4 linked regions of the Arabidopsis thaliana genome follow. The main gene of each other region encodes a partner of the protein of the gene in region 2 in a complex. Each region holds a gene or a part of one and is shown on either strand. Other genes may lie near its edges.

The links.
Region 1: MED19A (region 2) and AT1G23230 share a complex: the UniProt entries of both Arabidopsis thaliana proteins name them as parts of the mediator complex.
Region 3: MED19A (region 2) and AT5G63480 share a complex: the UniProt entries of both Arabidopsis thaliana proteins name them as parts of the mediator complex.
Region 4: MED19A (region 2) and PFT1 share a complex: the UniProt entries of both Arabidopsis thaliana proteins name them as parts of the mediator complex.

Annotation. Positions count from the first base shown.
Region 1 is NC_003070.9:8,242,056-8,251,158, reverse strand, and holds the start of AT1G23230 (mediator of RNA polymerase II transcription subunit), read right to left. Parts: upstream 6,720-9,103; 5' UTR 6,679-6,719; coding exon 6,571-6,678; intron 6,491-6,570; coding exon 6,447-6,490; intron 6,361-6,446; coding exon 6,261-6,360; intron 6,174-6,260; coding exon 5,235-6,173; intron 5,099-5,234; coding exon 4,856-5,098; intron 4,649-4,855; coding exon 4,379-4,648; intron 4,270-4,378; coding exon 4,068-4,269; intron 3,971-4,067; coding exon 3,699-3,970; intron 3,484-3,698; coding exon 3,400-3,483; intron 3,305-3,399; coding exon 3,210-3,304; intron 3,063-3,209; coding exon 2,900-3,062; intron 2,807-2,899; coding exon 2,390-2,806; intron 2,307-2,389; coding exon 2,193-2,306; intron 2,113-2,192; coding exon 1,987-2,112; intron 1,912-1,986; coding exon 1,763-1,911; intron 1,518-1,762; coding exon 1,277-1,517; intron 1,099-1,276; coding exon 312-1,098; intron 240-311; coding exon 58-239; intron 1-57. Other genes in the region: AT1G23220 (Dynein light chain type 1 family protein), read right to left, coding at 7,023-7,181, 8,315-8,545; GH9B6 (glycosyl hydrolase 9B6), read right to left, coding at 9,030-9,103. UniProt on the Arabidopsis thaliana protein: Component of the Mediator complex, a coactivator involved in the regulated transcription of nearly all RNA polymerase II-dependent genes.
Region 2 is NC_003076.8:3,952,316-3,958,751, forward strand, and holds MED19A (mediator of RNA polymerase II transcription subunit 19a-like protein), read right to left. Parts: upstream 3,871-6,436; 5' UTR 3,594-3,870; intron 3,029-3,593; 5' UTR 2,971-3,028; coding exon 2,943-2,970; intron 2,821-2,942; coding exon 2,531-2,820; intron 2,297-2,530; coding exon 2,060-2,296; intron 1,871-2,059; coding exon 1,811-1,870; intron 1,651-1,810; coding exon 1,600-1,650; 3' UTR 1,504-1,599; intron 1,062-1,503; 3' UTR 825-1,061; downstream 1-824. Other genes in the region: AT5G12220 (las1-like family protein), read left to right, coding at 1-699; CLE22 (CLAVATA3/ESR-RELATED 22), read left to right, coding at 5,425-5,736; AT5G12236 (uncharacterized protein), read left to right, coding at 5,833-5,967. UniProt on the Arabidopsis thaliana protein: Component of the Mediator complex, a coactivator involved in the regulated transcription of nearly all RNA polymerase II-dependent genes.
Region 3 is NC_003076.8:25,415,739-25,420,329, reverse strand, and holds AT5G63480 (mediator of RNA polymerase II transcription subunit), read right to left. Parts: upstream 3,082-4,591; 5' UTR 3,014-3,081; coding exon 2,636-3,013; intron 2,382-2,635; coding exon 2,289-2,381; intron 1,956-2,288; coding exon 1,857-1,955; 3' UTR 1,695-1,856; downstream 1-1,694. Other genes in the region: AT5G63490 (CBS / octicosapeptide/Phox/Bemp1 (PB1) domains-containing protein), read left to right, coding at 44-110, 238-343, 434-492, 601-710, 815-930, 1,012-1,097, 1,196-1,285, 1,423-1,614; NF-YC4 (nuclear factor Y, subunit C4), read left to right, coding at 3,246-3,998. UniProt on the Arabidopsis thaliana protein: Component of the Mediator complex, a coactivator involved in the regulated transcription of nearly all RNA polymerase II-dependent genes.
Region 4 is NC_003070.9:8,968,503-8,977,694, forward strand, and holds PFT1 (phytochrome and flowering time regulatory protein (PFT1)), read right to left. Parts: upstream 6,314-9,192; 5' UTR 5,945-6,313; coding exon 5,841-5,944; intron 5,336-5,840; coding exon 5,305-5,335; intron 5,113-5,304; coding exon 5,049-5,112; intron 4,928-5,048; coding exon 4,797-4,927; intron 4,593-4,796; coding exon 4,389-4,592; intron 4,297-4,388; coding exon 4,231-4,296; intron 4,088-4,230; coding exon 3,871-4,087; intron 3,755-3,870; coding exon 3,687-3,754; intron 3,388-3,686; coding exon 2,590-3,387; intron 2,515-2,589; coding exon 2,461-2,514; intron 2,315-2,460; coding exon 2,286-2,314; intron 2,154-2,285; coding exon 2,085-2,153; intron 1,990-2,084; coding exon 1,905-1,989; intron 1,564-1,904; coding exon 1,477-1,563; intron 1,394-1,476; coding exon 890-1,393; 3' UTR 563-889; downstream 1-562. Other genes in the region: AT1G25550 (myb-like transcription factor family protein), read left to right, coding at 8,142-8,286, 8,379-8,933, 9,021-9,097, 9,183-9,192. UniProt on the Arabidopsis thaliana protein: Component of the Mediator complex, a coactivator involved in the regulated transcription of nearly all RNA polymerase II-dependent genes.

The sequences.
Region 1 (9,103 bases), on a different chromosome or scaffold from region 2:
ACAAGCATATACTTGAAAAGACTGACCACTTCATATGGATACAAGCCATAAGAGTACCTTGTTAAAGAGAGTATGTGTACTGGCAAGCCTCGGAAGCAGTGGCCCCATGATACGGAATACAACTCTGAGCATTGCCACAGATGTCACAGGCCGGAGGTTCGTGATGATAGCATTCGTGCCATCAAGCCATTCTTGTGGGAGATTGCTGAAGAAAGCATGAAGCAAGGCGACAATATTTCCTGGAAGAAGACACATGTAAAAACAAAATCCAAACAAACATTTCACTTCTAGATCCAGAAACTATAGCGTACCTATGGCGGTCGAGGTGTTATCCTGAGCAGCCCATGTAGGATCCATCAAAGCGTATCCAACAGCTGAGTCTAGTTCACCTTGTGATCTCTTCCCGTCCTTAAGCCACCATGTTTCCCTTGTCACACGTGCTGCCTCCAAGTAAAGCTGTACGTGAAAATCTGGAGGGAGCTGAGCCAACAGAAGTCCACAAGCTTGAATCAACAGACACGACAGTTGCTGACATGTATAACCGCTTCTAGAGACAAAGCTCGCTGTGTTGATACCAGGAATCAGACAAGTGGACCGGCTAGCGCTCATGGAGTCTGTGCTCCCTCCAGAGGGAGACGTTGGCAGTACCGACCCTTGTCCCACCCCGTTGGCAGCGCCGTGGAACCCGTTTCCAGATTGAATCAGAGTCGATTGTATGTTGACAATTATCTGGACAAGCGAAGAGACAATCTGAGCAGCAGAGACAGGAAGCGAGAGGATCTCGATCACGGCTGTCTCAAGAACCAGTTGCGTGTAAGTTCCTGGGTCCTGGATCTGATAGAATGCTTTCTGGCCCTCAGAGGCGTTTGCTGGTCCAGGCTGAGATGTTCCTGGAGTTTTTCCATGAGGAGGTCTTGCTGAGCTGTTTAAGATGTCTGCCATTGAGCCAGACCTCGAGCTGCAGTTGCTGCTGCTGCTAAGTGGAGGTATAACATTGTTTACGAGATTAAGCAGAAGAGAGGCAAAGTAATCTAGAGGTGGGCATACAGGTGCACCGGTAGGGCTAATGTACTGCGGGAATGATTCAGAGAATGGAATCTGCGGAAATGTCAAAAGATTTGTTACGTTCCATTTTAATCGAATGTGGAAACGATTACGGACAAAGGTATCTAGATAAATTGGTGAGAAACAAAATCTCTAAACTAAAATCCAAAAGCGGCATCAACTTGAGGTCAATTTCAGAATCAATGTAAGATCGGGAATTGTTTTCAATTACCTTGCTGAGATCAAGTACTTTGAGCATGCGCAGAACAAGTTTCCCAGGAAGATGGCCATAGAAATAGGCTAGTATATCACGGACAAACGTGAATCTGAGAGGATGATACGCTAGAAAATGCGAGTGTGCAAGCAAAAGATTATCAGCTTGCTCCATCGCATTGTTCTCGATGAGCCTGTAAAGCACTAGAGGGATAACTGGAAGCAAACGCGCTGCAATATCATCAAAGAACGTTGGATACCTGCGTTTAACACAATAAAAAAATAGGTAAAACATTTACCCAACTTTAGCAGAATCCAACACCAAAATTAAAACAGATCAAACCAAAATTCAACTATTTCCTAGTCATACACAAGTTTTCATGGAAGGTTCCATCACACATTTATGGTTGGATGCCAACAAAACCAATCAAACAATCAAAGCCATGTACTTAAGTGAAATTGTTGTTAGAAATCAGTTACACTGATGTTGAATTGGATATATTACCTGTCCTTCCAAGAAAGATGGTTACCCAGGGCCTTCTGGAGTTCATTGCGTTTGAACACCTGTGTGACAAGCCAGTGCTCAGGAGACCCACGGTTTTGGCAGTAGTTTTTTATCCTCAGCAGAAGGTCTGGCGTTTTAAGTAGGCTCATCTGTAAATAAATTGAAAACAACACTGTAAAATTTCTATGATGTTAAGCTTCTTTTACGTAAAAGCATGAACATACTGCAATTATCAAGGCGTGAGGATCATCATCACGGTCAATGAGCGCCAAAAGAAAAATGTCGAGAGGAAGCATTTCATGTGTCCAGAAGAAAAATGCAAGATTTGCGCCTGCCTTGTCTAGAACTGCCTAAAAAATATTACGATGCAATGTAAGAAGATGGATCAAGCAACGAAAAGTGAGGTTAATCTCTTCTGGCAGACAGAAACCTCTAGAGATTGTCCTTGCTGAAGGTCTACATGAACGTGGTGAAGCAAAACATCGACCAAAGTGTATATGTTAGCAGTGACTTCTTCAGGAGAAACTTCTCTCAGAACTCGTGCCTGATAATCATTTGGAAGAGAAAATCATACCACTATCAACAAACAATCATTTCACAATTATGAATAGACTAAGCAAAGCAAACCAGATTTGTGCTGTTGATGTTTTCAGCGTGGCCTTGCATCAGCAGACAAGCACCAGCACATAGATACTGACGGTGTTGAGGAAAACTGTGACTGAGGTATGTTGAAACGTAAGCGGGTTCAGCAGATGGTGAGAGAAGTTGAGTGCACTGGTTTATCACAGTTGTTTCAGCCTGTTGCCATGCCTGAATTGATAGGCCCCTCTTGTCTACCCGTCCTTTCAAAGTTTCACGGAGAAGGGATGGGAAATGCCGCATCGTCTTCTCTGACCATGTATGCTGACTCGTCGCGAGTATTTGTTCCAACATGGTTTGCAGATAAACCATGTGATCAGGGTCTGCGATACCACGTGTTTTGATAGTGATAGCAAGAGTCATGATGGTTATGCGATTTAACGTCTCAGTGAATTCAGTTGGCCCCTAGTGATGATAACATAAGAACAATTATTTACACCTGAGATCCAGGCACAAAATAAGAAGGGGGACAGTGAGTAATTCGAAAACACCACTTACTTTTCCCTCCCGTTTCACAGAGAAAAAGTCTCTGAGTGATAAAATGAGATTCATGCATAAGTTTTCAGCTAGTCTGAATATACGGTGGTCACCACGTTTTCCTTTCAATGCAGATATTATTTTAGTAACATCATACATTAAAGTTTTACTCTTTCCTTGGTATCTGCAATAAGATCAGTAATTTTGTTTAGTCGGGTCTAACAGCCAATATGGCGAAAGCCCGAAACAATTGTCATCTAACTAAAAGAATGACCCAGTTAAAACATAAAGAAGGATCTACTCCAACTTGAGAACTTTTCGCTCGTTTTACCTGTAGAGTGGCAGCAACCGATAGTTCAGAATCTCAAGAACAAGTAACGTCACTCCAGGCTTGCTTAGCAGAGAAGCATTTCGCTGGGCCAATTGCTACAGAAAGTTAGCTAATCTTATGAATCGCTTATGATCAATAAAACATAAGATAATGAAAGTCAAAAGGTAACAGAAGGAACCAAATAGCTTACACTGAAATGTGAACGGAACATCGAATGAGGGGAAATCAGAAGCAATCTTGTGTATGTCTCAACCATTGCAATGCTAGGAACAACCTGCACTCAGATGTTTTACTACGACACTAAATTCATTTTTCTCAGGTTTTTTAAAATCTACTATTAACATTTTTAAACAAGTAAAACGCTAAAGTTGTTTTACTAAACCGTGGAGAAAATAGGTCACTAAGTAAAAATGACCAAAGAAGATGTTCTTCATAGATCAGTGTATCAATTAACATATATAATATCTTTGTGAGACAAAGGAAACAAACCTGGCTAACAAACAAAGCTTCTTCCATCTGAAGGGCCAATTTCAAGCACAAATTCATTGAAAAGCCAGATAGCAATGACATAGGTAACGGGGTAACTTCCTGCGTCATCATTACTCGGTCGTTTGGCTGTAATCCCGGTAACTCAGCCATGCCAGCTGAAGATAGCCAATTTATAACTGTTTCACATGCTGGTTGTGCCATGGTGTAGGAAACAACCCAAAACATGCCAATCGACCTATCATCCATATTCATATAATCCATCATCCGCTCTCCTGACAACCCCAAACAAGAAACAGAATGAGAGGATGCTTTTTATAATCGGGATTCTCTGCTTCCTAGTCTAAGCCCTGCCATTGAAACCTTATGTACCTTTGCTTCTCCACCACTCATCGATCTGTTTTCCCTTCAACAGCTGTTCATTGTTTAGGTATGCCCTAGTTGTTGTGCTTAGTGACCAAATCCGTAGATTCTGACAACTGCTTACGAAGTCAAGCAACACACTCTGAGGATTGTTGGGATCAGAATTTCTGTCTTCCCTGTGAAATGATAAGATCTTCCTAGTAGTCTCCACCTGAGAGAAAACCCAAATAGAGCACAAATTGGGATGTTAAATTCGCCGAAAAAGAAGTACAAGTAATTGCATTGCAGCTGCAAACATATCATTGTAATTGAGTAACGACCTTTTTAGCATCTGAGTTCAAAGCAGTCATCACAAGCTCCACGCGTATTATTTGTGCAAGCAGCCAAGTCACATGATTCGTCCGAAGAATATGGTTATCAACACCGTTAAGGCGTAAAACCAACTTGTCAATGAAATCAACAAAATCAGTACACCCACTTTTGATTAGAAAGAAGAATATATCCGAGAAAACCAGCCACTCTTGCCAGCAATTTGCATCTGCATAGAGAGGGGGAAAAGTAACAGATACCAAATCAATACCAAAGCAATCCTAGTATAATGGTATCTCAACTCTTACTTTTATCTTTTCTATCTAAGCCTAACGAATCAACGATTATAGAACTAGAATAAAACGTAAAGGATGTAGGTTCTTTACAGATTGTGACGACTAGCAAAACCACTTGCTATTTCAAAATAATTTCCACAGATTTAAATGGAAGTGACAGATCAAAGACATGAGAAATAGGGAAAGACAAACATTGCCTGAGTTGGTCAGCTTAAGAAGCTCAACAATTCTGTCAATGATTGCCTCACAAATCATGTCAGAAGTGAATACAGCACCAGGGATAGGCCCTGCTTGTGTAGATGGTCTATAACAAGGGGCCACAACAAGAACACGCTTCCACCAGTCCGGTGACGGTGTAGTGCGAATAGCATGTCTAATGCAACGCACTGCTCTCTCCCAATCCAGGCTTCCTTTTGGAATAGACATCGCCAGATCCTGCCGGTGTCGAAAAAGAAGAAGAGAGGATTGAAATTCACAAATTGTCTGCCTAATGAAAAGCGTATACATTACACAATATCAACAAGAGCCAACTAAGCTATGAAACCAATCTCCACAATTTCATAGGAATCACCTCTCCATATAAAGGTTCCCCAAGCACACTTGGATATGTAATTGGTGAATGTCGTAAGTGTGGCACAGCTTCGGGTGGAACATTGGCAGTTATTTGGGAGACTATACGATGGGTACCAAATGATGGACAGTGAAGATGTTGGTCCAACATGAGCATATGCATGGCCATCGCATCTCGCCTCCGGTGTATCTCCATGATAAGAGTGAACAAGGCTTCATCATCAGGTATGTTCTCTATAAACTGTAGACCACTGCGCAATAACTCATAAAACGGAATTCGAGATTCACCCTCTTCTACCAACAGCCAGATCACATCCAAACAACTCCGCAACCATTCAGCTAAAGTCTTCTCAGATCTCCACGACTTTCCTACAGAGTCCTCAGTTCCCAGATCTCTCCTGTCCCAGTTAACAAGCCAATTCATCATGTACTGGAAAATCTCGGCATGAGTAACGGGTTTGAGACTAGATTCAACGCCAATCAAGATAATCTTGCAACTGAGCTGACGCAGACTGTTTACAGCAGCAGCTCTAATCCGTTGACTATTTCTCATAGCATTCTCTCTTACAATCTGGCCAGCTCTTGCAATCTGCTGCCCATTCTCCACAGATTTCACCTCTGAAGCTGATGGAGAACCAATACCATGAGCTGAAGGCAGCAATGACGTTGGATTCACAGACACAGGAACTACAGACTGCGAAGAAGTAGCAGAAGAACCAGCCGTTGCCGCTGCTGCTTGAACACCTTGGCTTAACGACGCCTCAGCAGCGGAAACGGAAGAGAGAAGGGATGGTAAAAAAGTATCCCAATTGATATAACTAATCCTACACAATGTACGCAAAGCAAAGAGTAGAAACTCAGCACGAGGCGCATGATTGCTACATTGCACCACCAGAGATATCAAAACTGACTCAGTAATCGTCCTCAATTGCTCTGGATCCTAACAAAGAGTTGGAAAAAAAAAAAAAACTTTATCTTACGAAATCACAAAGAGAAAGATAAAGATAGTTAAAAAACGAGACTTTACATTGAATTGGCTCTGAAGCAGCTCAAAATCCAAAAGGAATTGCTCGTTTCTTGGTGGTAAGTCTCTATTAGGAGCATGAACACGCTTCTGTGATTTGTTCCTGATCAAAACAATCAACATGGATAAAATCAAACACAGAAGGAAGAGAAAACAAGAGTTGATTCAGAATCAATAGAAACAACATACGGGGGATCTCGGAGGGACTCATCAGGCTTTTGACGGCTTCCTCTCTGTGATAGAGAAAGCAAAATCAGCAGAGAAACAAAATTCGATGAAAAAAATTGGGAGATTGGAGAAGAGATTAACCAACCCCTAAGTAGAGATTGAAAAGATCGATAATTGCAGCACGAGCTGGGTGGAATTGGTACGATCGAGAAGACGATGGCGTTGCAGCGACTGTTCGCTGCGATTGATCCATTTTTTTTTCTTCTTCACTGATTCTTTTTTTCTTTGATGCTTATAAAACGGAGGAGCAAAATTGGTATTAGAGGTTTTGGGTTTAAAGCTCTTTTGAAGAGAAGAAAATGTCAACAACAACAACAACACAACAACGAAAAAAACAAAATTAGAATTTGAGAAAGAGAAGAACAATATTTTGCATTGTGAAGTTGAAACGATTCACAGTAGAGAAGATGACTTCTAATTACACAATAGGAGCCACAAAGATTTTGTCTTAGGCAGAATTACATTGTGGGATACAAGACAGAGAATTCTAAAAGAAAAGGATTAAATTGAAGATGCTCTGATCATCAACGTTTTATCTCATTTTTGATCTAACGGCTCCACGGCAGTCTTGAAGAGAAGAACGTAAACTTTGTCGATCTGAAAATATAGGAATCCTCCTGTGGAATGAGTCACGTATGAACCAAAGCTTGTTCCAACAATGCAGTGCCATGCCGGGCCGTAGGCTGAATCGAAGTCCTGAAATGGAAGACAGATGGAAAACTGTTTCGTGAATATATAGTTTTAAATCAGCTGCAACATGTCATTAGACAGATGGGAGTCTAAGATTCACTTCAGTGGATAACATAGAAGCTGGATTTAGGAGAAAACATAGAGACAAGAAACATATGAAGATCTATTTCGAGATAAGAGATCTATATTACCAGAACAAGAAGATAAAACAAGACAACAGCAGAAATTGACTCGTATGTCAATCCTAAAAGCCAAAGGGAGGTAGCCATTATTAAGAGATTGATGAACACTGAGACAAACAAGTAAGCTGCACACAGATAAGTGAACACTAAATTGTTTTACTCAACCACTTCATAAAATCAATGTATGGATCAATCAATGCCTCTACCTAGTCGCATAAATTGAGGGAACTGCTCCATTTCGCTCCATAAGTTAAAATCAAAAGCTAATTATCAAAGCCGCTTTAAGAAGGAACAATATCCTCACGAGAAACAACTGCATAAATGGACAACTCTATATATGGGGTGTCGAACCAAGTCCTTTGTAAAAGGTTGTATTCAGGCAAGGCTCACTTCCTAAAGCAAGCATGCTTCAGAGTTATCATTAGGTAGCAACTAATTTCTAACAGCAAAGATACAGAAGCTTAGCAGATGGTGCATGCTATGCCTCATTAGTTATGGCCTAAGACAGCTCCAAAATCATCTCAATAAACAACAAGAACATCCAGTTTCAAGACATTTCACAACGAGACTCCTACTACAGTTATCCTCGCAATACAAAAACAACCTAGTCAAGTAGACTAACCGAAGCTACAAATAGAAAAGACAACAACAATGGAACAAAGTCAAATGCAACCTAACAAATATGGGACCATCCATGAAGTTCAACAATATGCAAGTACACAAACGAAAATCCAAATTCAAGATTCATCACATCTTCAAACCAATCAAGAAAGAGAAGACCATAACCACATTCTACAAAAAGCATGCGACTTTGAGACGTAGCCCTAGAACCCAAAAGCAGCTCAATACTTTTAGATTCTGTGTCAAAATTCAAAACTCAATCCAAGTACTAGACTTCAATGACTCCAATTCAACCCAAATACAGAAAAATCATGAGAGAGATACAAAAGATCTAACCTTTTTTAGGGCATGAGCGAGTCTTTTGTTATCAGCCTTCCCTGGAGTAGCATTCAAAATCTCACGCGACAAACTAAAGGCTCTGTTCTGTTGAGGCAAAGGCATATCTGAAGCCCTAACACGAACATTGAACTCATCTTTCTGATCTTGCTGTTCTTTAGCCTTCTTCTTCTGTATCAAACTGTTCAAGAACTTGCTTCTTCTTTCTAATTCTAGCTCAACTCCTTCCATCTCTATCACATCACTCGTCTAAGCCCCTCGTTTTCACTTTTTCCTCCGTCTAATCGGAGAGAAAAACCAAGCTTAGTGTCTGTCTCCTTGTTAGTTCTTAAGCTGATTCAGAAACGAGCACCATCTGTTTGACAAAATGTCTGAGAGTGAGAAGAGGTAATTGCGTGGAGGAGACAAAATAGCGTTCTTTTGTGTTAAGCGTAAAGCAGCCGACCAAAGTCCAAAAGACAAATTCCTGATTTTTGATTAGTTTGGTCATCAAAATATTAATTACTCTTGTCTCCCCCTTTCTCTCATTATTACTCTTTGTTTTTCCTAACTCCCATATGATTAAAAATTGATTATTGTGTACTCGATTAATTTATACAATTATTTGTTCGTAGATTTAGAGAATCTAGTGAATCTACTAATCGGTAACAATCAACTAAAAATGTTTCACAACAAAAATAGACTTTCATGCTTCGTTCGAGTTCGAGGTGTGAAATCAATAATGGGCCGAGAAATAACCAAGTAGGCCCAAAAGAGGTGCGTTGATATAAGTAGTGGGCTCAGTCAGCT
Region 2 (6,436 bases):
GCCTTAGGATATGAGCTGGTTTTGAAATCAGCATTTCTACTCGCAGAGATTGTGGGAGGCCGTGTCTTAAAGGAGAAGCTCATAAAACTTCCTCTTATGCATAAAAGCTCTGCAATTGTTCCATTGAAACAGAGTTCTACTCTTGTAACAGCTAGTACAACGCTCCTTGAGCAAGAGAAGAATCTCGGTAATGCAGGCAAGAGACTTGAGTTCGTCAAACTTCAACTCTCAAAGAAGAAAGGTATTGACACAGACAAAACCGGTAACAGATGGAGAAAGGCAAAAACATGGAGCCCTTGTCCAATTGGTATGTTGCCTCGGATCATTGGATCTTCTGGACGTTTACCTCTTCTTGACAATCAGAATGCTAAGAGCATCTCAAAACAAGCACAAGGTAACAACAATGCGAAGAGAGGAGCTGAGTGTAATAGAAATCAATTGGAGAAATCGCCATGCAAGCGAGCAAGGAAGAGTGCAGGAGATTCTGAATCAAATGATGTGACATTGGAATCATACGAGGAAGAAGCTGAGATGGAAATAGAACATGCATATGAGGAAACTGAAACTGTAGCAGAAGAGAATCTGATGTGGAATGATGAAGAGGAAAGTAGAAGCTGCCTTATGATAGATGGTGAATGGAAAAGAGTAAATGATGGAGAACTCTCGGGGATGGCTTCTAGTGTTACAATTTGTGTTTGAGATTTCGACAGATGTAATCATATAATCCGACATATTTTTGAGAAAATAGTTCAGATATTTGATCAATTTTTACAGGCATAGTCGCAGACAGATAGACATTGTGACACTCAAGTAAAAGTAAATAAGTGGATTTGACAGTTACTTTTTCAACAACATCAATTGGTAAGTAAATTATTATACATGAATAGTAACGATTTGTGTTGTATTGAGTATATAGACAGAAAAGAGATGGAATAGAACACCCCAAGAAAAATGTTACAAATCTGACACCAAATCAATTATGATACTAAATTCTTCTTCTTCATTTCACAAATTTCCCCTTTCTTCTTCAAGGAATGAATTCACCAGTTTGGGCTTTTAACCTACAAAGCCAATCATTTTGTTCAACACAACTTGAAAATATAAGAAAGTAACAAAAATGTAAGCAATGATTTGTGTTAGCTGAGACTGTTCTATTTAGAAACACATCCTATCTTTGATATGTTCTTTCGACAGGTTACCCGATTTTCATTAGTTATGTATCACGGCAACTTTCTTAAGACCAGAAAAGAATCCAATACCAATACAGAAGTCGCACAGAGACACATACAATGTTCCCTTGCAAATGTTGCGTTATTTGGATTTCAGTAACTTAAAGAATACAACACAAAACTCAAGTATCTGCCTAAAAATATTATGGGTTCAGTTCCCCTAAAGTATAGTATCTGGACTATAACAGATGTATATGTTCTATGAAGGATCCCGGAATACCAAGAACACCGAAAAAATTGTACAAAAGAGACAGGACAGTACACAGATGCTTACCTAATAAGCTGTCTACAGTGAGTTGAAAAGTGCTTCTAAAGTCTCCATGACACCTACTCGAGTGCAGAATACAAAATTGGAATGTCTACAACTTTTTTAGCCAGCAACCCTTATTGCACCCACCTCATCAAGCTTTGAGCTTTTATGCTGCAACAGGTTCAATCAAGAGCTGAATCAATACAATTTATCAAAGACATATTACTAGTTCTCTAGCACCTTTGTGCAAAAAAAACATTATGGTGGAAATTTCATGTTGAGTGTTAATGAAGAACGAGAAAAATTTGAGGCCCCACTTCATTACCATTACCTTGTTTTTTTTGTGCCTCTGAACGTCATTAAGATCTTCATCTCCATCGTGTTTCCTTTTCTGAAATATAAGTGAAAAGGCTCCATAAAAACTCAATAAAATGTTCTAGAGCAGTCTCTAGATCTGCTAATTTCATGCCAAGCAGGTCAAAAAAGCAGCCTAACTCAAGAGCAACAAATACAAAACTTTCCATTAAGCTATTCTTCTTTGGAAAGACAGACACCTTCAACAAACAGACATGTTCTTTACCTTATCATGATGTTTCTTAGAATGATCACCCGAATCATGGTGGCCATTTTTGTCCTTCTTTCTGTCTCGGTCCTTGTCTTTATCTTTATCTTTGCTTCTATCTTTATGTTTGTGCTTGTGCTTCTTATGCTCTCTATCTTTGTCTTTATCCCTGTCCTTGTGTTTCTTATGTTTCCTGTCCCTATCTTTCGACTCACTTTTTGACTTAGACGGAATTGTAGGAGCTCCCTTCTCTGCCTGAAAGAAGAATAGTACCAAGGTCAATCATCTCCATAGGACACCCAGATGTAATTCACATTACTAGGGAAAGATTCTCAATTAACCAAAGAACTTGATGTTACAGGAAATAGGACATTCATTACTGAGCCAGTTTTTAAGTTCAATGTAATGGCAAATACTGTTACTCTTATGAAAAGAAGGACATTTAAAACTCAAAACACCAAGAGAGAGTGAGAAAGATCAGATTCTTACTGGGGGTAATTCAACAGGAGTCATATCATTTAGTTGGAAAGACTCCTGAAGCTCATCTATATCAAAAGGCTGGATGCGAATATTAGTCTCCCGGCTCTGTGATATGCTCTCAATAAGCTGATCTAATTGCATTCCTTCTCCTTTTCTGATCTCTGTGTCCCCAACCACATTATGAAGATAATGGGAATCTGATAAAGAAACAGGAAGAGATTTCTTGCAAAAGAATTCATGGTGTTGCACTAGTTTGAATTGAGATATAAGATCCGCAGCACCGCACAACTCTCTTGGACCTGCACTTGAAACAAACAACACATTGACCTCAAGGTGAGCCAAAGGGGAAAACAAAGGACAACGAGCTACAAAAAAAATAACTTCACGAACTGAAGAAGCTCCAAATTCGAAACCAATGTACCTCCAAATTTTAAACGTTCAGGCTCCATCTTCTCTATCGCACTCTGAATTTCTTTTGCATGATCACTGGCTCACTGCATATATATCCTACACAAGGAAACAAAAATCAGAAAAAGCATAGAGTGATAAGGAAATAATACTACTACAGAAAGCAAATTCAGCTTCGATACTATCTAAACTAACAATTCTGTAGCACAAACAATACAAAAGTTATAACTAAGCACCAGCTCATATTTCATAGTGACCAAAACTAAGAAGTAAGAAAATCTAATTTAGCATTAGATGCTATCAATTCTCAACTTTTCTGCTCCAAGCTCAAAAAAAATGAAACTAGCATCAGAAACAAAACCCTAGAAAGTTTTCGGAAGTTTGTAAAAGTAAAATTAGATACCAAGTCCATACATTTTGGATCTAGTCAACAAGAAAGTTTCATCAATTTGTTCTATTTAGGAATGAAGCTAACAAAAAAAAAATCAGACAAGCGAAGTAATCACTAGAAACGAAGATTAGACTCGATAAAAAAGCTTCAAGCAGAAGAGAAATTCGAAATTGAGGAATTTGGAATTCGAAAACGAAACAAGACAGAGCCCAATAGCAAAACCAAAATCTCAGATTCAATTGGTAGGAGAAAGAATCGAAACAATCAACATACACGTTTCTTTCGACAAGCCCAGATCTCGTTTGAGAAAGCTAGCTAACGAAAGCAGCGAAACGTGAGGGGGGAAGTGTTTGGGTCTTGGGCTTGGGTATCGAATTCCCGCCTAAAATTTTGATTTTAGCAAGTGATCGAGAAAGGACAGAGATCGAAGAAGGTTCGAGAGAGCGAAAAAGCGAGACTAGTTAGGGTTTGAGAGTCTTTTGTGTCTGATGACCAATGAGAGAGGAATTATTCTCTGTTTTCTTCCGTTGGCTTCTCTCTCAATATAATCAACAAATTACAGTCAGCCTTTTTTTATTATTATTCAAGGGCTCCGCGTGGGCTTCACGCGCTCCTTCAACACGGCCCACTTAACCAGACAAATCAAGGATCTTCCATTAGCTAAACCGTATTCGAACCGAGTAATGAATCTCTCTTTAACCGGTGGTACTCTTATCCAAACAAAAATATCCACGACTATTTATATCCGATTTAGATTGTTATCTCTTTCTATATTTTTTATTTACTTGAGTGAAAAACATGAATTGTTATTCTAAAAAACCATTATAAGACCGAAAATTATCAAAACATAAATAATGTAAGTTTTCAGTGTTTTGGGTTGGTCGGACAGGTCTAATCCGATCGAGACATGCCTAACAATATCTTCTACAATTTAAGATGAAACATACGATGAATACATACGTGTATATTTGCTGATATAACATCAGAGACAAAGTGCTTGACGAGAACAAAATGGAATAATGGTATTTTTGGGGATTTGAGTTTGTATACCTGCTCTCTACTATGTAAATGATGATTTGTCTGCTGTAAAATAAATGGGAATATAATATATAAAAACGTGATGACTGATGAGGATATATTGAGGTACATATCACATATGGTGTTTCTTGACAAATATTGGACGTAAGTCTTTGTTTTTTCTTCTATAAACTTTCAGCTTGATTTCTTAAAAACATTTGTTGCACAAGTTGTAAATACGTTTATCGAAGGTAGAAGATGCATATTGGAGAATCATATCCATATATGTATCATGTATGTAATTTAGTTCTTGTGATACTGTTTTCTTTATTCTCTTTCTTAACTCATAATAAAGTAAAATTAAAAAAAAAAAAGTAATCTTAGAAAGACTAAAAAACGAGAAGCAAATATAGATATACAACATTTATATAAAATGGAGAGGAAGAAGATTCAAGTGGTAAGTGGATTTTTTCATGTGTGTGAGTGAGTGTAAATGTGGGTGAAGAAAAAGGGAGTGAAGACAACATCATTTTCCCCAAAGAAAGCTAAGTCTTAGAATCATCACTCCAATTCCCTTTTTGGCCCCTTCTTCTCTCTTTTCTATTTCTTTCTACTTTTGACCCCCTTCACATAATTACCTTCCTCTATATGCTTTATTATCACACCCTCATTACTCTCTAAAACTAACCACTATAAGTATATTATTAACCACACTAATTACTACCACTTGACCTAGTAATCCCAGCTAAGACCTTTGGAAATGATTCAACACACAAAAAAAACTTTCGTTAAAAATTAATGATATATATATTTACAAACCTCTATCTAGTTTCTCTTCTCTTTATTTGTAGAAAGTGGTGGAGAATAAGAAAGGGAGAGCAACAAACTTTTAGAGGAAGTCATAGGTTAAAAGCCCCATAGCTTTTTCTTCCATCACTTTCATTCCTCTCTTCTCATTCTTACAGACTTTGAGAGAGAATTTATTTAAGAGATCTTGATCAGATCTTTTATACTTGCAAAAATCGATTCTAAATATATAATCTATACCTTATAGAGAAACTCTTCATATCTTGAAGATTCCTAAGAGATGGGAAATTACTACTCTAGAAGAAAATCTAGGAAACACATCACTACAGTTGCCTTGATCATCCTTCTTCTTCTTTTGTTTCTGTTTCTTTACGCTAAAGCTTCATCGTCTTCTCCTAATATACATCATCACTCAACTCATGGAAGCTTGAAGAAATCTGGAAATTTGGATCCAAAGCTTCATGATCTTGACTCCAATGCTGCGTCATCAAGAGGATCAAAATATACTAATTATGAAGGTGGTGGTGAAGATGTTTTTGAAGATGGCAAGAGAAGGGTCTTCACAGGTCCTAATCCATTGCACAATAGATAAATTTTTGCTTTTACAAGTTTTTGTGAATTTTTGTCTGAATAAAACTCATTTGTGCAAACACAAAAAACATATTTATTTACTTTTTTTCTTACACTGATGATATACACTATATCGTACGTTATATGCCGTGATTGTAACTTATGTGTTCTATGTGGTGGGATGAGATTGAAGAGTGTTGAACAACGAGTCTTTGAAAATAGTAACTACTGCTTCTCGGTTTTCTTGATTTAATAGTGTATCGATAACACGCATAATTATCTTTTGGAACCCTTGTTTTTGAATATGAAGCTGGTGGAATTCGTGTGGTGTGTGTGAATATCTTGATAATGATAAATGAACATCATTGTTAATGCCAAATGAAAAAAAAAAAAAACAAGAATGAACATCATTGTTAAATTGAAAGAACTATAAAGCTAGTCTATTACAGAGTTGGATGTGAAAGATGTAAGATTATTACAGGCTATTTCATGCTTACGATATTGAATAAAATTGGTTTGAATAGCATTTTATTAGTCTAACAAAAGCTGTAAAAAGAGAATCATTGAGATGGGAAAACCTATTTGACACTAAATCACTTACACTAACAAACCACATTTGTAACAAAAGTAAATTGCAAACATACTTAATGTTAACTTCATCTGGAACAGACGAATAATTTGGTACTCTACTGTATAATCTTATTTACCTCGAATCATTGACT
Region 3 (4,591 bases), about 21 Mb from region 2:
ATTATCACTAACTTTCAAGAGTTCTGTTTTTTCATTTATCTAGTTCCAAGGATATACTGATGCGGGTTGTGGCTGAAAATCTTCCTCCATCTGAGACTCTAGTGGAAACGGTAAGATTAAAAGATTAGTCTCCAGGGTCTTGTATTATTCAACCATCTTAGACTCTTATTTCCAGCTTAGTGATAGTTGCTCCTTTTTCCTGAATTTAACCATTTGTTCGTATTCATTAATGCATAGGTTATGACTCAGAATCCAGAATCTACGATAGTTGACACACCAATTGTTGAAGCTCTACACATCATGCACGAGGGAAAATTCTTACACCTTCCCGTTACTGACAAAGGTGAGAATTCTGAAACCTTTTCAATTGTAAAGTCTTACAAAAACTAAAAAGGCAAACGCATGTAAACCATAAATGGGTTTCTGATTGCAGAAGGAGATGTAGTTGCTGTTGTCGATGTAATCCATGTCACTCACGCTGCTGTTGCCACAGTAACTCCCATCTCTTGAACCGTCTGTAAATTTTTTCGTTTAGAACATCCACTGTTCTCTTTTTTCTAGATACATGTTTCAATCTTGTAGTTATTTTGATGTGTTCAGGCTGGAACTACTGCGGGAATAGGTAATGAGGCGACAAACACAATGATGCAAAAGTTTTGGGATTCAGCTATGGCATTGTCTCCTAATGAGGACGATGAGGACTCGAGAAGGTTATTAGCTAGTCTTACTTGTTCCACTATTTATCGAGTTTCTTTTCAAAGAAAGCTTTGGTTTTGCTGACTTTGTTGACAACATGGGGAACAATTTGTTTCAGTGAGAGCTCCATGAAGGTTGCTTCCGAAGCTGAGACAGGAAAATCTTTCCCTTTTGCAAATACATTTTCTTTCAAAATTGAAGACAAAAAGCACAGGAAACACAGATTCATAAGCGGTAAAAATAATTTTGATTTTTATTCATCAAGTAAATAGTTGTAGTCTTGCTTTTACTTAACTGAATTGGTTCTTTTTGCAGACACTCGGAGTTTGACAGAGGTGATAACCGCGATCATTCAGAGGGTAGGGGATGATATCGATCCAGATAACTTCCCCCAAATTTTGGTAAATATTTTCTTTTACATAAAGACTATGATGCAATCATTATCTAATTCTTCTCTTGTCACCCCCTGAATTGTTAAAATGATGGTTATAATGTGCAGTATGAAGATGAAGACCACGATAAAGTGTTGTTGGCTTCAGATAGTGACCTTCAAGCAGCCATAGAGCATGCAAAATCAATTGGCTGGAAGGTAAAAAGAACGATTTCCTCCTGCTTTAAACTTTTGGTTGATAAGCAACAAGAACCAAAGTCGAAGATGAAACCTTCATGAGATTGCCCATAAACCCCTTTTGCTTTCTGAATTGATTTGATCATTATAAATTGCAGAGTCTGAGATTACATTTGGATGATTCAAGAGAAGGCAAAGGAAGAAGAAGGAGAAGAGCATCAGGATCAGCAGAATCAATGGAGTATGTAGAGACAGACGCTTGGGCTGCTGCTTATAGTGGAGTTGCGGCTGGTGCAGCATTAGTAGCTGGTCTTGGTTTTATGGCTTTTCTCAGAAAATTCGGTCATTGATTCCTCAGAAACACTACAAGAAGTGTTTCTTTAACAGATCAATACAAACAAAAAAGAAAAACAGACACAGGGTTTGAAGGTTTTGTCTGAAATATTTTTATATACAAAAGTCATTTTTGATTATTTTTTTGGCTTCATGATATCAAAATAACAAATATCTAAAACTAATACATGGAGTAATTCAAGAACAAGGCTTAGAATCTTTGTCTAAACTGATCTCACTATTGTCAAAAAAATAAAACTCAAACAGAACAAGGGCTTTGCCATGTAGAGATATCTGCTATAAGTTCCCGAAGTTTATCTATAAGTTCTTTAACATGAACATTCTTCTTTGCAATCTCCTGCATGAACAAAAGCTTCCGTTTATTAATGCCAACAGAGAAGAACAATATAATCACTTCCCATAAGGTTATTAACATAGAAATCAAAATGACCAGATGGCTGAAATGTATTCAAAAAATTATCAACATTTCCATGGTTCTAGAACCGCTTAAGCTATAATGATACAAACACTTACACTAGACAGTGGGAAAGAACACTTTATACAAGAAAATATGAATCAAATTCAATGCTATGTGAGTTGAAATGTACAGAGAATTCGAGACTGAATAGTGTATCAATGTAGTAACATCAGATTGAAAACAAAGAGATGTAGAAATTGCAGAAAGCTTTACCATTCTGAGACTTAAGGCTTGCTCCTCCAATTTTTCGATCTCGTCTTCACTTTCAGGAGATCCTAAACCATTTTGCATTTCAGATGCTTTTGCCTGTAATAGATGAACAAATTCAAATTTATGAAACCTCAAAAAAGCTCTCATTTAAAATTAAGCAAGTTCACTACAAGTGAAGAACAAGACACTCAACAAGCATTAGATCCTTCATCTAAACTCTCTATCGATTCGAAGATTTCCTAATCTAAGATCTCAAAACACCCTAGGAATTCAAAATTTCCTCAGTCCAGAAACAACTCAGAACAAAACACTTCTCGAAATAGTTAGTAACATCACATTATGTTCAATACCTTCTGCGAATTTGGAATCGCAGCAAGAACAGCACGAAGCGAAGTCACTGAGTTCTTATACCGAAGACTCGCCTCATCCAAAACACTATTTCCACTTCCTCCGCCCCCGCCACCACCAGCAGATTCCGAATGATGCGATGTTCCATCAATCGCAGCCGCATCGGCGGAAACGAGAGCCGAACCATTAGAACCCGTCGTCGTCGCGGCGGAACTCGGGGTAGCTGAAGTAGACCACAAAGACGGATTACAAAGCTCATCATTCATGGCTGAAATTATCTGAAACGCCGCTTCAATAGTTTCTTCCAATTGCTTCTCTCCTTCCATCGCTAGCTCCTGTGTCGTCATCGTCGTCGTCGTCGAGACCTGTTTCTGCAGCATCACCGTGAACACACTTTATCACGGCGTCGGTTGACTAAACTATTAATACGATGTCGTTTTAATCAAACTATATAATATATATATCAATAATATAGTTTTTATAGATAAATAAAAATAGAAAGAAATCAGCTACATCGCTGTCTACCTTATCCACTATTACTCCAATCCATATGACAAAAACTATCTAAAACGTTAGTTTGATCTTTTGATCCAATCACAAGGCAAAGATCCAATGGACAATAACAACAACAACAACAACCAGCAACCACCACCAACCTCCGTCTATCCACCTGGCTCCGCCGTCACAACCGTAATCCCTCCTCCACCATCTGGATCTGCATCAATAGTCACCGGAGGAGGAGCGACATACCACCACCTCCTCCAGCAACAACAGCAACAGCTTCAAATGTTCTGGACATACCAGAGACAAGAGATCGAACAGGTAAACGATTTCAAAAACCATCAGCTCCCTCTAGCTCGTATCAAAAAAATCATGAAAGCTGATGAAGATGTGCGTATGATCTCCGCCGAAGCACCGATTCTCTTCGCGAAAGCTTGTGAGCTTTTCATTCTCGAACTTACGATTAGATCTTGGCTTCACGCTGAAGAGAACAAACGTCGTACGCTTCAGAAAAACGATATCGCTGCTGCGATTACTAGAACCGATATCTTCGATTTCCTTGTTGATATTGTTCCTAGGGAAGAGATCAAGGAAGAGGAAGATGCAGCATCGGCTCTTGGTGGAGGAGGTATGGTTGCTCCCGCCGCGAGCGGTGTTCCTTATTATTATCCACCGATGGGACAACCGGCGGTTCCTGGAGGGATGATGATTGGAAGACCGGCGATGGATCCTAGCGGTGTTTATGCTCAGCCTCCTTCTCAGGCATGGCAAAGCGTTTGGCAGAATTCAGCTGGTGGTGGTGATGATGTGTCTTATGGAAGTGGAGGAAGTAGCGGCCATGGTAATCTCGATAGCCAAGGGTAAGTGAATTCTAGTAATATTCAGCAATGTAGCTTGTTGCAATTGATTATCTATGGTTATTGAGATTCTTCATGAGCTTGCTTTGATTAGTCTTAGAGGAATTTGCTGCTCTGTGTCATCTTCATTGATTCTCATCAAATAAGCTAAAAATTGATAATATCAAAGAAGCTCAATTTACAGTATCATCTGGCTCATTTCTTTAGATTCATAAACAAAACTTTGTAAAATACACAATTTTGATATCCATTATTTGATTTGACTCACACCTTTGATTATTTGTACAATGTTGTGCAGTTGAGCTATGGAACCAGAAGCTTAGAGATTTAATCATCATTTCGACCCTGCAAGTGTCTGATTCTTATATGTCTATGATTCGAATGACTTACTCGAGAGAGAGAGAGAGATCAAACAAAACAAAACAAAAAAGCTCTTTTTCATTTTTCCTGTTAACTTATAAGTTATTGCAGCAAAACTGCAGACTTGCTTAACTATATATTAATCTAAATGTGCAGATTCTAATCTATGCTTTGTATTTTTGTTGATTCTTGCTCCTAATCTAGTAATGATCAGAGCTTATGTATGGCATATTGAGTTTG
Region 4 (9,192 bases), on a different chromosome or scaffold from region 2:
GGAAATCGAAGAGAAGTCATGTTTGTTGTCTTTGATTTCCAAAAAGCACTGTCGATTTCGAATTAGTGCGCGTCATAGTTACTACGTCTTATCAAAATATTAATAATTATGCTTTTGTTTCTAGACAACAACTTATCAAATAGTTTTGGTGGTCAAGCTATAATTTATTTCTAAATTTCAAGGATGTTATGATAACAGTATTTGTTCCAAATTATACTTATGACTTTATCGGAACTAAAACAAAAGATGATCTGTTCCAAAAGAGAAAAATAAGAAAACAGCTACAACAACATGAGAAGCATTTTTGTGTAAGGTTTACGGGTTTCTATTTTCTTGGTTTTCAAAATGAAATTTGATTTATGATGATAATTTAAACTTAAAAGATTTAAAAAATCCTAGTTTGTCAATGATGTAATTTTGAGCAAGTAATTCTCTGATGCAATATGCAGTTGGAAATGGTATATTTAGATAAGTTTGTTTAACTATCAACCATAAACCTTTTCTAATAGAAATGTATATTTCTTACCTGCAAATAAAACACAAAGTCCAATCATGACCCAACTATGAAATGGGTTTGATCCTTTATTTCCTTGTCAATCAAATAAAAAGCTAGATAACAAGTTATTATCAGCATATAGAAACACCAACAAAATAGAAATCATCCACTTTTTTTCTATTTATCTTAAGAAAATGACAAAATAGTTTGGTGCCGTAGCTAAATGGTCAGACCCATACAGAATAGGACATGCCATTTTCAGGCTCAAAAGAACAGAAAGGACAACTAAACAGAGTCTAAAACCATGGCGACGATCGAGTTGACCAAAGAAGAAAGAAAGAATGTTAAGTTATGATAAATCTAATTAATTAGCACTGAAGCTGATATTTTTATTTATCCCATGAAGCCAGCTCCAGGCATGTTAGGCTGCCCTCCACCACCACCTTGTTGTGATCTTCCAGGGGCTTGTGCAAAAGCTTGACCACCCATTACCATCTGTTGAGGCTGCTGTTGCTGCTGCATCTGATTCAGAGGCGAAGTCTGTTGCTGCATCTGATTGAGCGGCGAAGTCTGCTGCTGCATCTGATTCAGCGGCGACGCCTGCTGCTGCTGCTGATGATGGTGTTGAAGCTGTGTCAATTGATGCTGCTGCTGTTGTTGCTGCTGTTGTTGTTGTTGCTGCTGATGATGTTGGAGCTGTGACAATTGATGCTGCTGTTGCTGTTGCTGCTGGTGTTGTTGTTGTTGTTGCTGGAGTTGTGGCATCTGTTGCTGTTGGAGGTGTTGTTGTTGTTGCTGCTGCTGCTGGATCTGCTGTTGTTGTTGTTGTTGCTGGTGGAGTTGTTGTTGCTGCTGCTGTTGCTGATTTGGAATTTGTGGTTTAAACACAACCATATCCTAGGAGTAAACAAAACAACCCTCAAGAGTCACTAATGTGAAGCAAAACATATATAGACACCTTAAACTTAGTACTTCCTTACCCCTGGGAAAAGCATTCCAATCAAGCGGCAAGCCTTGTCAGAGACAGAGAGAAGAAGCGTCTGTGATGGCAACTGGATGACTGCACACTGCAATACGGAGGATGACAAAGTTATCATATACAACTCCACAAAAGCTAAGCGTGAAAATGACAATAGTATGGCACACGATTAGGCTAATCAAAACAAGGCTACATACAAGCGTAGGCATCGTTAAGTGTATGGTGAACATAGCAAGAGATTGATAGATTCACCGAGAACATGTTTACAGATGTAAGTACATATATTTTTTCAAAGATTTTCATTCTTAACATCTAATTCATCCTAATATCTAATAAACCAGTAAACACCATTCATCATTTTGTTATTAAATTTGTAGTGAAACAATAAGGAAAAGGAGACAAGTGGCATAAATTATCAACAATACTCACAAGCTTTTTATCCTGAAGTTGTCCTAAGAACCCATGTTGACTCATGGCCCGAAACACAAGGAAGTCAGCTTTGCCAACATATTGCCTGATGCAAAGTCAGGTGAAATATTTAGTGGCATGAAATCAACATCCACCCATGAGCCATTTGGAATAAGGAAGGATATAGCACGAAGATATTACTTGTTATTCATATGGTCCTGGGATATGAGACGAACAATCTGCATAGTTGGTGGCCAGTTTGCTGCCAACCTGGGGAGATGCACAAAAAGAGAAAGCAAAAATTAGTTTAGCAGCTACAATCATTTCTTAAGGAGTCGACTGCTCTCCTGACAAGGTTTAGTAAGGAAGCAGTTTTCATATTTCAATTAGTTATAAACTTACGAATCAGAGGCAGAAGCACTTCGGTAACCCTGTCAAATATAAACAAAGACGTTAGTTAATATCTACTTGGAACAATTCAACAAAGTTCTACAGAGGAAGATGTGCTTAAGCATGTGATCCCAGTAAATTCAGAAAAGGGGAAAGAAAAGTGCATAGTAAGTGCCCCTAAACACACCTCAAGTCTGGTGATAAGAACAGGCTGCCCTTGCCTTTGCCCAGATAAATTTCCCTGCATGAATTTGAAAATGTAAGTAAAAGTTAGCACAAGATCACCGTTATTTTAGACAAGATAAACTGACATTACCTCCCAGACTTTCACATATTTGGATTGTGAAGTCTGCATAGCCCCCGATGATGGCTGTGATAGCTGCATATTAGGAGCTGAGCTGTTACTGCCACCAAGTTGTTGTATTCCTGATTGCGCTTGTTGGCCAACTCCTGGAGTAGGCATCATTCCACCTGTTCCAGAGGAGACATTTCCTTGACCAAGACCACTCATCATGTTTTGGTTCATGGAAATTCCACCTTGCATCATTGCTCCAGAATGACTTCCTTGGTTCATCCCTTGCATTGGTTGTGAAACACCAAGGTTTGAAGCGACATTTGACGTTGTTTGAGGACTAAAGGCATTATTAGGACCCGGGCTTTGTCCCGTTTGTGCAGATCCCATTAGTGCACCCGAACCAGCCATTGAAGTAATTCCCTGCTGTCCAGTTGAAAACACAGTTTGTGAAGGAGGCAAAGATGTAGCCATTCCTGTTGATATCATATTTGACATATGCATTGCAACCGCACTTTGCCCAACCGATGAGGCTGCACCTGCCAGAGCTGCAGAGCTCATGACTTGTCGGACTTGAGAAAGATTATTAAGCAGATTTACATTGGCTCCACCAGGAGGACCAGTACGCAATGGTGGCGTCATTCCACTGACCACCACAGGCTTAATATCTGGTGCATTCTCGGCGTTGCTGACCATATCCTGAGAAACTGGTGATGCTGAAGATGTTTGAATCGAAGGAATTGCTTGTGTAGCAGGCCGAGCTACAGCCGGGATATGGGGAAAACTAGGAACTGGTGCCATAGAAGTTACGGTGCTAGGCTCCTGCAATTTCATTCCAAAAATCTGATTAACAGGCTTCTACTAATGTGAAGATATGCTATCTAATAAGCTGATTGAGTATACAATATTATTTCACAAATGGGATATTCATATGAACTTAACATTAAATCTAGTTGATTAACACATAAAAATTTGTAATGTCTTATCAAGCACCAGAGAATAAATTTACAATTCATTTTCGGCTAATATCTAGTAAATAATTCTTATAAAACATACAAGAGTCGGTTGCCAATAGATAGAGCTGACTCCTCCAACTGACTAAAAAGATCAAATAGACTTACAACTTTCACAGTAGCAGTTGGAACTGGTCCAACAGAAACTGGTTGCCGATTCTGAATAGGTCCATTGGCTGAAAATCATACAAAAAGAGATCTTCATATAGAGAAGCAGGATAGAATCCAAAGAAGCACAAAGAAAAATCAAGATAGTTGGACTAAGAAAAATGGATGTTGTCAGTAGAAGAACCTGATGACACAGGAGCTGGAGGTTGCCCAGTGACTGGAATAGATGGAGCAACAGTGGCCCTGTCCACTTTCACAGGGCTCTGAGTCTGTGGCAAATTTGTAGCAGAATGACTTAAGGCAGCACATGCCTCCACAAAATTCTCCGAGATCAGGACAAGATAGAATGTGTTCTTAGCCGTGTCAATTGACAAGTCCGCACTTTGTTGATTGGGCTTTCCCTGCATTTAAAACAGTATAAAACAAAGATTACACCAGTTTATAGCATTGAGAATAAAGACAGCCTTTGAAAGAGCTGTCTGACAAAAGAAAGACTTTTGATAGATGTACATCTAGTGAATAGCAAATAGACACGCAGTCTCACCGCATTGTATAGTGCTCTAATTGTTGGAAGCTGCTTTGGACATACAACAGACAAAGAAACAGAACACTGCACACCAATATGGCAGGTTAGTAATTTCCCATTAAAAGGAGTAATTATAGCTAGTTGTAATACCTGGGGGAATCAGTTAAAAAAAGTACCTTAGCAAAATATGAAGCCACTGTCTCAGCATCTGATAATCGACTCTCAGCTTGCGCATCACCATTCTCATTCCGTTCCACATTTTGCAATCGTGGACGATATACAGGTGTTGGCAATATGTGAGGATTGCTGGCTGTGATTAGGATACAGTGTCTTTTCAGATCGTTACTTGGTTGAGCTTGGCCTGAAGGAGGAGAAAACATCTGTGTCATGAAGTCAGAGAAAATTGTGAGGTTTAAGGATCGAGAAAATCGCTGACAGAAGCACCACCACATAAAATGAAGCCATGGAAAGAAAAAAGTTAATTTTATTGAGAAAGTAAATTAGTCAAAAGTAGCTTGAAAGAAAGTGGCCCAAACATATGTCTTATAGTTGTGTCACAGATGAAAAGAGATCAAGTTTCCCACCATCAATGCTTCGGCAAGCCCTTCAGCTGTGGCAACCTCATTGAAACCACCACCACCAAATTGTATGGAAGAAAGCCAATGCAAGAAAATATCAACATCCCTTGTCCAGCCACTCCGTTGTACCAAGCAAGCTAAGAAGAATGAAAGATAAGAACAACATTACTAAAACAAAAGCTAATGTAACCAGGGCCATGAGAAAGCACCCAAATAATATTTGTATTTGGATATCACAAGATGAAGCACAACACGTACCACAATATGAACCATGAGAATTGAAGATCACCAGTGATAGCTCAACAGTAGAAACAGGGTTCCTCTGCAAGTTTAGTGAATATATAAAGACTCGATCAGACACATCAAACTACCAATTTGCTCTGTTATTTTTTGTGTCGCAATGATTTGACAGATAACGAATGTATATGAGTTTGGTCAAAAACATTGATTAACTGTTTGCTCAAGAATGAAAACTTGAGTAAACTTAAAAACGAGGATAAGTCAGATATAGTACCTCTCCATTTAACTCACTGCCACAGAAAGACCTGGACAAATGCAAAGAATGCATAGACAGATTATGTAATTGAAATTTTAACATACAAAAACGCTACTTTGAAATACAATACTATGTTGAGTGGATATTAAGAATAGCCAACAATGTGATTAGTTACAAACTATACAGGCAATTATATACTAAATTCTCTGTAATCACATATTAATATCAATTTTACGTGATCGAAGTGAGAAACTACAAATTCATTGCTTTATGAATGCGTTGTATCGAAAACAATGTCCTAACACAAAAAAAGAATGTAGGAACCATAAGGTAACGTAAAGTGATTGCTCAATATGAAACACAGAACAATCAAATACATAAACACAGTACTAACAACGAACAACAAAACATTGTGGAATCAGAGGATAAACAAAGGTTTGATCTAACCAATTGAAATTAAAGCCTGATTCGAACGGTATCAGCTAAACCCTAACTCCGAATGAAAATCAAATAACGAGGATTAAAAGAGATACAAGGTTCATAAAAAGAAAAACCTGATGATTTTCTCGAGATAGTCGGAGACGATGGTTTGCCAATAAGGACCCAAAGCGGCGGTGCCTTCAGCAACGACGATCAGCTGTTTCACCTCCGACGACATAGTCTCTGAGCGTTGTTGTTACGTGAATCAAAAGAAAATTCAGTCTCTCTCCCCTTGGAATTTGGTGATTCTTCTCGAGCCTAACGATTCGCCGACGGTAATTTCTTTGGAAATTTTTATTGAAGCTCGTTCTTTGTAAATTGTAAGTTTCCTTCTTCTCCGGGAGAGGAGAAGATAAATTAGATTGACAAAATTTGGTTTGGATGCTCCGAATAGAAAATGGGATATACAAAGGACTTGGTCGTTACTATCTTTTTATTTGTGTAAATTGGGCAATGAATTTAATTTTATTTTTTTTGGTGAAGAAGTGAATTTAATTTGATTAGATTGTTTACCATCTGTGGGATAAATGCAGAGAATCTTGTGAAGAATATAATTGGTTTGGAGGTGGTTCATCGAACGCCAAAACTAACAACAAGCTTAAGGTCGATCACGTAAAAAAAAATGAAAGTAACCAATTTGATATCTTATTTTGGGCTATGTGGATAAACATTTTGTATACATAGTTGTAGTTAGTCCAGACTTGAATCAAATAAAGGCCATGATAACCATTGTGAAGGCCATTTAAGATTGGTCCAAAAGTTGGACATGGGCCGCATGGCCTTTTTATCTGTGTTTTTTTCTTTTCAGAGTGGCCTAGTGGAAAATAGGATCCAATTTCGTATGTCAGTCATCTTAGACTAGTTGATGTCAATGACTTTTTGTGGAAGAGATGAGTCATAGAAGACGGCTACAAAGCTATAGATTTTGCTGATCCCGATCGTTGTTCATATGGTAGTATTGGTAGTACTAAGGGAGGGGCAACACATTGTAAATTGCCATGCAATGCTATGGAAACGTGAGTTTGTGAGAAGTCATGAGAACCCAAAATCAACTACTTTTCACGTGGTAGTTTTTTTTTATCTAATACAATGTTGGTGGTCTTCACATCCATGGACATTATCCATAAGACCATAACTCAAAGAAACCATCACAAATGAATAATTATCATCTTCCTTAAATTGCTTCTCACTGTTTACGACCTCTCGAACAATTTGACTTTACCACAACTCAATCCATCACCTAGTTATAAGCTTTTACAATTGTCCTTAAAAATCCAAATTTAATTATTGATACACAATAGTTTCTACAGTTTGGTAACCGTAGCAGACAGTACAAAAACCTCAATCTCCAAACTATTTAGAGAAATTTTCTCAAGAATACATACTCAAAATTAGACACTTAATTCCGTTTTATAGTGTGTGTTTTTTTGTGTGTGTTTTTGTCGCCAACCAATTTAGAATCGTCAGGTATTCACGAGAATTGCTTGAATATATCACAACACAACAACACACAATGAAGCGCGTGAAAAGAGGCGAGTAGGTTGGTGTGATATGGGGCAGGTGGCTCTTCGATAGCGTGAAGGGCCAAAATTTAACAATTCATGAGGAAACGGGGGGATCTGGATATGTGTGAATGTCACTCTTCCAAAGATTCTCTCCTTCCCAATTTTTTCCAATTTAATATGTTTTTTTCCAGCTTAGTTTCTCCCCTACTCTCGAGGAATATTCCTCCACTTTTGCCAAAAACTTCTTTATCTTTTTCTTTTCTGATAAAAATGTAATTTATGATATGATACCATATAATATATTCTAAACTGTAAATTTAATGAATGTTTAAAATTTTCTGGTTACATATCTTGATTCCAATCTCTATGGATATTCTTCTTCACTCGTTTGTTATTACAAAAAAATTCATGTGTATATTTCTAAAATAGGTAGAGAATAACCGAAGAAAAAAGAAAGAGTTAGTAATGACTAAAATGACTCGTCGTTCTTATCTCAACGTCAACGTCATGAGAATGCTGACATCATCGCCAGCTCGATAGAATATGGAAAGGAAGGAATCCACATATCCCCGAATATTCTCCCTGTATCAAACAAACCTCAGCCTATTCCTATATTTACCATTCTACCCTTTCCCAAGTAAAATCCGAATAAATCTAAACATCAAGAAGATTCGGTTTTAGGTACGCGACGGCCCGACCTCGATTAGACACCAATCCTCTTTCTCTGCCCTTTAAAACTTCCAACTTAAAAACGTCAAAGTTTTATCCTTTCTCTCTCATTTTAGATCCAAAACTCTTCTCTGTCTCTCTCAAGATTTATGTTTTCGTAACTGTAACTCATAGCAAAAACGAGTCTAAGATCTGTTCATAATGATGATGTTCAAGAGCGGTGACATGGATTACACCCAGAAAATGAAGAGATGTCACGAATATGTAGAAGCTCTAGAAGAAGAACAAAAAAAGATTCAAGTCTTTCAACGTGAGCTCCCTTTATGTTTAGAACTTGTAACCCAAGGTAATGTTATTACACATCCTCTTTTGATATATATATTCTTCGTTTTCACGATCGCTTCCAGTTTCTTAATTGTTTACATATCATTCTTGTAGCTATCGAGTCATGTCGGAAGGAGTTATCGGAATCTTCAGAACATGTTGGCGGCCAGTCAGAATGTTCTGAGCGGACAACTAGTGAATGCGGCGGTGCCGTGTTTGAAGAGTTTATGCCAATCAAGTGGAGTTCTGCTTCATCTGATGAAACCGATAAAGATGAAGAAGCTGAGAAAACTGAGATGATGACCAATGAAAATAACGATGGTGATAAGAAGAAATCGGATTGGCTTAGATCTGTTCAATTGTGGAACCAATCACCAGATCCACAACCTAATAATAAGAAACCGATGGTAATTGAAGTCAAACGCAGCGCTGGTGCGTTTCAACCGTTTCAAAAGGAGAAACCTAAGGCTGCAGATTCTCAACCACTTATTAAAGCAATTACTCCGACGTCGACGACGACAACTAGTTCCACGGCGGAAACCGTCGGGGGTGGAAAAGAGTTTGAGGAGCAGAAACAATCTCATTCGAATAGGAAGCAAAGACGTTGCTGGTCACCGGAGTTACACCGCAGATTCTTGCACGCGCTTCAACAACTTGGTGGATCACATGGTAAATATATTAAATCCTTTGATTGTTTGAGAATCATAATTTTACGAGAAGTATATATTTAATTTTTGTTCATTGTCAAATATGCAGTTGCTACGCCTAAGCAGATTAGAGATCTTATGAAGGTCGATGGTTTAACTAATGACGAAGTTAAAAGTCATTTACAGGTAACAAAACATAATCATTTTATGTTCTCACTACAACATAGATTCATAGTTCTATAATTTTTATCAACTTTCTTGATTTTTATAGAAATATAGAT